2 linked regions of the Solanum lycopersicum genome follow. The main gene of each other region encodes a partner of the protein of the gene in region 2 in a complex. Links are inferred from orthologs where the notes say so. Each region holds a gene or a part of one and is shown on either strand. Other genes may lie near its edges.

Region 1 (4,051 bases), on a different chromosome or scaffold from region 2:
TCTTTGTAAATAACTTTTTTATGCAATAAATGCTATTTTTAATGCATCAAACCAAACAATGCATAAAAATAATTATTGAATAATGAATGCAAGCATAACTAATACATGCATTACTAAACGACCCCTTAAAACATAAAAATTGCAGGTCTCATTTTGATAACCATGCGAAACCAAACCACAAATGTTCAAGCAAATATGGAATTTAAACCATCGTAATGAATCTATGGTATTCCACAATTCCAGGGGAACTCAGACATAGATCCTTAAAGTCATGAAAAGTGACTAAGATGTTAGACCTGGCTTTGCAAGAGGTTAAGGACTGCAGAACCAACACAGTTATCCGCTGCAGCCTTTTTCACCACCATAGACAGTGCTTGCATCGAACCCATCATTGGCTGCAAGACATAGCTTCATAAGCACCAATGACGAGGAGTCAAACTGAATGGAAATTAAACCAGTTTAAGCAGCGTTACCTGGCAGTAAAACCATAATCCTTGTATAGAAAGTTTTCCTAAGCGAAATTGATGTTCAAGCTGTGCCACCATTGCTTGGTAGTCCTGGAAAAAATATATTCTAGACTTCAATTAGCTCTCCCTTTTTATTTTCCTTTATTATTCTTTCTCTTAATACTACATTGTACATGTATGTCCACACAGCATGGGACAATTATGGAAACAACTCATGGCATCCAAAAACCTTAGACAATTAGCTGAACCAAATTAAGGTAGCAGACAGGTTTTCTCAGCTTCCCAGGAGATAATCTTCTGAAAGTCACATTAATCCATCCACAAAAAGAGATTTTTATTTTGTAAGGTAATAATTTTTTTAGTAATAATTGAACCATATACAAGCTATACCAAGGAGGAGAGAATCTACAGTATCCAAAAAGAGATTAAACAAATAATGAAGATGATTCAATCCTCCCAGAAATGATTTCTCAAATATAAAATTTAGATATCCTCAAGAAGAGCTTATACATAAGATGGATAACATACCAGATAAACAAGTAGAGAAAAGAATAATCCACCATGCAACCATAGAAGGATCAATAAATAAGAAACTTACAAGGAGGAGTGCCCTTAGAGCTGCAGCAAAGGCATGATTGACTAGGCCTGTCTTGAACTGTGACCTTGTCTCCACAAACTGGTTAATCAAGATATAACTTTCGCATAACGGGAACAGCCTTTTTGCAAACTCCTACAATAATAGCCCAAATTATTTCAGCTAATGTTTTAAACTAAATACGCTATGGATTTTCTTTCATGTTTACTTGGCTTTTAGCCTCAAAATATTTCGTTGCTTTAGAACACTATATATCAGGGATGAAATGTCTCATTTTTTCGTTAGCTATTTTTACAGAAAACATATCTCCCTATAAGTACCTGAAGAGCTAAATCCATAGATGCATCAACCTGAAAGGTTATGTCATCCTCCTTCCCTCGGACTTTCTTGATCGAAATATAGCGTCCTTCAATTCCAATAAGGGTAGATAGAAGATCATCAATAACAATCAATTCCTGCATAATAGTTAAGACAATATTTTAATAAATGACGGTGACCCTGACCAAACTCAAAACCAAGATCGTCAAGTTCATATAGGACATAACATATTAACAAGAAAAACCATTTAGATGGGCCACAACATAATAGTCCTCACTATCCTTAACCTTAAAACTTAAAGCAAGAAAATACACAAATATTCACAGGACCTTAACTTGCAAACTATATCAACACACACACAAGAAGAAAACATGACATAAGTTGACTACAGTCTCGTTAGAACTTATGATCCAGGTGTATACGTTTGGAGTCAAATATATAACTTCTTCTTACTGGCATTATACTAGATGATAACAATAACAATAAGAGTGACAACCAACAACAATATGAACAAAAATTATAAAAAGATGGATAAGGAACAACCTATTTGATTCAGCAGAGGCATACCTGAATGGTGGCATGGTAACAACCTATAGCTTTATCTGCTCCGGAACTGCATTAAAATTTCCAGACAGAAACAGAAAATAAGTAGGAGATGTACCAAATAGAAGTCACCAATTTGACTTAAAAAAGTAAATCAAACACACCAAGATAAAACACATTATTAAAAAAAAAAAAATTGAATTGTAATAGCAGAAAGCCAAGGAATAAAAGGGGAACCTTGATTCCGCAGAAAACCCCTTGTACTCAGAAGTTCCAGACGAAATCTTTGTTTCCTGTATGTATTTTCAAGGGGCAAAATAGTTTCAATTCAACCTAGGACATCAAGAAAAAGAAGAAAAGAAGGGCGGAAAAAAGCAGCATTCATGAAGAGTCGAAAAAGTCCAAGAAAATGAAGGTTTTAGATAACGGCATGAAGGGGTTTATTGCATACATATGTCAAGCAATAAAATGTTGAGTACCTGATAAAATTGGCCAGTAAGAAAGGGACGATCGAGATTCCAACCAGGAGTTGATGGGCATAAAGAAATTGCAGCGGCTGAATCCATGTAATTCGTCTCAAATCTTGAAGTTGAAGTAAATGGGGATGACCCAACTCAGTTTCAGCAGGAATTGCTCCACCGGCACTTCCGGTGACTGTTTGAAACCGTAGACACGACCACAATGCCACCGCAGTTCAATTCAGAACTTAAACTTTCAAGATTTCACAAAGTGTTTCTCATTTTAGGGTTGATGTTCTGATTAGCTGAAGATGAAATTTTTGGGAAAGCAAATTCAGTCTCACAGTTTAAACAAAAAGAGAACTGCAAATTTTGCCCAGAGATGGTAGTAGTTCTCTTTTGTCGAATAATAATAATAACATATATATATATATATATATATATATATATATATAATTTCAAAAATCTCCACACTTTGTTTTGCTAATTAAATTTTTTAAAAGGGAATGGGTCAAAAATGTTGTTAAACTATGTAAAAGAAATAAAAATATTTTTCGTTGTTTATAGTTTGACTCAAAAATATCTACCATCAATATTTTAGTTTAAAAGTACCTTTGTCAATATTTTTGTCCGAAATGATCCTATAGTTACTAAATGAGTCAAAAATGTTATTTTCTGAATAAATATATTATATTTTTCTTTTTAACACAATCTTTTTCCTAATTAAAATATTATTAACGAACCATGTTTTTGTGTTCTTTCTTTTGAAATCACTTTAACAAAATAAAAAAGTGAAATATTTTTTTCTTCTTAATCTCATTTTATCAATTAAAATTGAATAATTTCATGTACCCCTTCGACATATCATATACGTCATATATAAAATATCGTAATATATTCATCATTAATTTATATTTATATTACGATAAAAATATTTATTAAAAATGTGCTAAAAGGATAATAAATAATATATTTATTTGGAAAGTAAATATTTTTGACCTATTAAATAACAACAAGAATATTTTTAGATCAAAATATTGACGGCAAAGATACTTTTGATCAAACAAAGAACTTTTACCCTTTCCCTAATTTAAATATTATTAATGTGAAAAATCTTAATATGACCAATTTGCCTTATTAATACATACTACTATTATTTAATTACTTTCATAAACATATCTTATTCGTCAATGAACAAAGATTAAATAATTATTATTATTATTATTATTATTTAGAAAGAGTAGTTATTTGTGTTTCATGAATGAATCTGAATTATAATTATTTTTTTGGTCATATCAAAGTAACAATAGAGTTCTTTGCATTTAAAACATGGGTATAATACATAAATATGCTCTTTAACTTGATTTCGAATTATATTTATGCTATTTAATTTTGGATTTGCACAAATAGACACTTAAATTTGTATAAAGTTGAACAAAGAGACACATATGTCATCCTACGTGTCATTTTTTTGTCATATGTGGTGTATTACGTGTATTGTTCAATGTAGGACTCATGTGTTTATTTATTTAAAAAATTGAATAGTTAAAGTGTATGTTTGTGCAATATAAAAATTGGAGGTCAAAATTAAAATTTAAAGTCAAGTTTAGGTCCAACATGTTTATGCCTAAAACATGCATGATTTTGTGCTTTGCCTCCTAAGTCCTATC
Region 2 (4,215 bases):
GAAGTTTTATCATTTGATTTTCCCCGTGACTTGACTTTATCACGAGAGTTAATTGATGTATCTGAAGTCCTGTAATTTATAAGGAGATACAAACTGTTAGAAACATCGAAATACTGGGGGGGGGGGGGGGGGGGATCCAAATTTCATTTAGAGATGGAGAAAAAAGATCAATACCTTGATTGCAGCTCATTAATGCCTTCATATAGTCGATCTGCCAAACTTCGGAAGCGCAATATCAGGTCAAATAAAACAAAGAGTGTCTTGTTAAGCTCCTGAGAACGTTCTCCAAGCAAAGACTTCTCTAAAATTGCAAACAAATACTTTTCATGTGCTGCAAGAAGATCATCAAGGTCTTTCGATAATTCCATTTCTTTCACAAGATTAGACCATGAGACCTCCAAAACTTCAAACATGATGTAGTACTGCAAATTAGAAACAAAGTGATTCATCTCATCCCAAAGAACTTGACACTTTCTTGATGTCAAAATCAACTGCGACTTAACAGCCTGTGGCAACTTAGAAAAGAAGTGGGAAGTGATACAATTTGGTTTCATTGTCTTCCAAGTACCAGTTAACGCGTGTTCTACTCTTCTGAGCTTCCACAAAAAATTGAAGACTCTTATATATCTTGTCATTACAGACTCTGTAAAAATTGTATTCAAAGGAACACCAGCATCATATTCCAGAGAAAAGACATCCCACCCTCTATCTCCAGTTTTATGTGGCATCATCTTAACTCTTAATCTAGCGCGTATATCACAACCATCATACTGCGCATTAGATGAGGTGATAGCACTCTCCAACAAAGTTGCCAGCTTAAATGAGCTGATAGTATTAGCTGGCTCAGATAGCTCAGGACCAACAATATCCATTAGATATTGTACAAAATCACCTTGACCAAGAAGCAAATAGCGCTTAATGGCAAGACAATGTTCCTTGAACTTGTACCTTTTGTGCATAAGTTCAAGTAAATGTTTATCGATTCTTTTTGCTGCTTCTGTAACCAGAGATTCAAGCGCATCAGTTTCGCCATACCCAAGACTTCCTCTCGTGGTTGTAGTTCCAACAGCTGCTGCTGCTTCTGTTGCAGCATCAGCCCAACCACGATCATCACAACAAACTCTGAGAAAGTTAATTGATTTACCAGTCCTTAATATCTGTTTGGCAAGAGACTGGGAAATAAAAGCAGGAAGCATGGCAGCATGAAGCCGGTAACCTTCTCTCCAAAGAGACTCGTCTTTTACAGGTTGACTCACAATGAAAAACTCAGCAAATATATCTTCAAGTTCTCCTTCAAGCACCCATCTCCTCACCATCTCAAAAAGAGGGGAACACACCCGACGCAATAACCTCTTCATAAAATCATTAACGAGTGGATCACCATGCTGAGCATGCATGTGAATTGCACCAGCCATTGCCCCACCCTTTAAGCTCTTACAGTTATCAACTAAAACAGCCATCAATCTCATCTTCACAATTGGCTCAGCAAACCAAACTGTCAGTCTTCTTAGAGAAATATAATTCCCTGAACATGCACCCTCTGAACCCAATGGTATTGGATTCATTGCCTGCCCTTCGAGCACCGCTAACAATTTATAGTACTCTGAAAGCTCATCTTGCAATGCAGCACAAAATGCTTGTCCAACTGTGCCTACATCTTGAGCAGGGAACTGATTCATACTATCTGAGATGTATCCTTTAACTTTCCTAAACAACCAGCCAAGCTCACAAAGCTTCCTAACAACACTTCTCGTAGCCCTTGGAACTTTCATCCAATCAGGCAACACATAACCATCCTCATTCTTATCATACTTTACATACTTCCCGTCAATCCCTTGACAAGCATATAGCACATCCCTCACTAAAACATCCTCAGATACCTCATTTTCTTCCTTCGACAAGTTTACAAACTCCTTATACGCCATATCACGTAAGTTCTCCGGATCCTTGGAAACCATCAAAACCCCTCCACTCCATCCCTTCCCTACTTCACCTTTACCCCTCAAAACTCTCGAATTATCACCTACACAATTCAAACTCTGAAAATCATCACTCAGACTACGATCACTATAGCCTTTCTCCATTTTACCCAATTTACCCACCAAACCCCTAGAATCCTTACTATTATCCATGTTACCCTGCACATTATTCAAAACCTTAGAACTATCATTTCTGAGCCCGAAATTACGATTCGATTCACTACCAACCAATTCCGGTAAACCACCCGACAATGCAGAGCTAAGAAACCCGTTAGGTGCTACAGAAGCAGACTGGTGTTTTTGAATTTTCCGATCTTCGGAGACGGTTTTAAGCAAATAAAGAACAGCCCATTTGTTTCTTACACTACCCTGTCCTGTTTTCAACGAGAATTTGGTATATACATCAGCAAAAGTTAAGGCATCAGACGATTTACCTTGAGTAGCTAACCGTCGCTTAATGGATTCCACCATTGCGGACTCATCCGCAGCAATTGAAGGTGTCATTCGACTGGAGAGTATGCGAATGGCGTATCTTAGCGCTTGGTGATACTGTTGATCGGAAGGTATGACAGGGTTAGGGTTTAAGATAGTGGACTGGTGGGAGTCGGCGGTGGAGGGCGGCGTAGAAGTGGAAAGTAAGCGGTGTACTAGCTCTTTCACTAGATCTAGTGCTCTTCGGTCGCCGTCGTCCATGGTGGATCTGCGGTGGCCGGCGGCGGAGATGGTGAAGTTAAGTGAGAGAAGTTGGTGAATATGCCTAAAGGAACAGTTTTTATTTTTATTTTTCTTTTTTTAATTTTGATTTAATATGGGCGCGGAAATGATATTTCCCTTTATATTTTTTATTTATATAAATCAATTGAAATATTTGTTTGAAACTTTAAAAGATGAAAAATTCATTAGTATGGAATTATGATATTTTTATGTATTATAAATTGAAATTCTTAGTTTTCCTCTTAGCGTACTTTTGAATTTTAATGCTCTATTGCTAAATTTGATATATTTGCTTTCAATTACAAGAAATTCTAGTCTAGAAAGGATAGTATCGTATATCTTCTTTATTTGTATAATTTAGCTTCCATTTTTTAAAGTCAAGTGCTTTCGATTTCTTCTTCTTTTCTTTATCTTAGTTCTTTTTCATATTTTATTAGCTCAATTGCAAGAATCAGTGAAGATTTTTGGATTGAGATCAACTATTGAAGAACAGCTTAAGAACAATTAGAAAAGAAGAGGAGAATTAGAGAAGAAGAGAGATTTAAATAAGAGAACAATGATTTGTATGTTGATTGATCTGATGTGTACATATGAGATGTGTTTATGTACAACTGTAGTACTAACTTATTCAGTCTAATTCTCAACTAACTTCATGATCAACTAACCAACTCTATGACCAACAGTAATTGTACCTAACTAACTGACAGTTAAAACAGAATTTGCTGACATGACCAATAGTAAGGCTAATTAGCTGATTACTGTAACATATGTATATAAATACTAAAAAGATAGATTGATAGGTTAATCTTAGTGAGTCATACGTTTCACATATTATCGACTTTGATGACATGTTATTATATATCATGATCATATTTTATATGTTACTGAGTTATTTTTACTGCATTTATGAATGAAGTATTTTTTTCACTCAAGATGCGTATAAGTAATTGCTTTTTAAATTCTATATACACTTTTTTACTTTGATCTATCAAAATATATCATGATTTAATCAGAGATATTTCTCTAATAAAGATGGATATAATAGAAGTATCTAGAATTCAATTTAATTAAACTTGATCTGTAATGATGATAGAAGTACAACTATATAGAATAAAGTCTTGCAATGACTAAGTTAATTCTAAAAAAAATTATTAGCTTTTGATTTCATATTTGAAGTTGAATTAAATTTAAATGTAGATCAACTTTAAAATTTATCTTTGAAATTGAATATTTTTTTAGTTGGAAAAGATAGTTATTAAAATAAAAAATTACTTAAAGATTATAATATACACTTCAATTGAAAATCAAATTTCCTTTTAGATTATGCACAAATAATTCAGGAACACATTAAATATGAATTATACAAGTATTTTGTGTGAAGTTGCAAAGAAGAAAAAGAAGTGAAGAAGTAGCAACACTAGCCAACTTTTAAATAATTATAAAAAAAATAAGTTATATTTTAGATAATGCCTTCACAAGTGATAGACCAAAAAGGGTAATCATAAAAATTATTTTAAAAATA

Evidence for each region.
Region 1: gamma-tubulin complex component 3 (region 2) and gamma-tubulin complex component 2 share a complex: the UniProt entries of both Arabidopsis thaliana proteins name them as parts of the gamma-tubulin complex. The link is inferred for Solanum lycopersicum from reciprocal best matches to the Arabidopsis thaliana genes SPC98 and AT5G17410.

What each region holds. Positions count from the first base shown.
Region 1 is NC_090801.1:61,614,571-61,618,621, forward strand, and holds the start of gamma-tubulin complex component 2, read right to left. Parts: upstream 2,804-4,051; 5' UTR 2,490-2,803; coding exon 2,403-2,489; intron 2,217-2,402; coding exon 2,161-2,216; intron 1,994-2,160; coding exon 1,948-1,993; intron 1,518-1,947; coding exon 1,383-1,517; intron 1,198-1,382; coding exon 1,066-1,197; intron 558-1,065; coding exon 474-557; intron 396-473; coding exon 297-395; intron 1-296. UniProt on the Arabidopsis thaliana protein: Gamma-tubulin complex is necessary for microtubule nucleation at the microtubule organizing centers (MTOCs). Required for the positioning of the gamma-tubulin-containing complex on pre-existing microtubules and for the proper organization of cortical arrays.
Region 2 is NC_090808.1:2,980,282-2,984,496, reverse strand, and holds the start of gamma-tubulin complex component 3, read right to left. Parts: upstream 2,805-4,215; 5' UTR 2,673-2,804; coding exon 175-2,672; intron 70-174; coding exon 1-69. UniProt on the Arabidopsis thaliana protein: Gamma-tubulin complex is necessary for microtubule nucleation at the microtubule organizing centers (MTOCs). Required for the positioning of the gamma-tubulin-containing complex on pre-existing microtubules and for the proper organization of cortical arrays.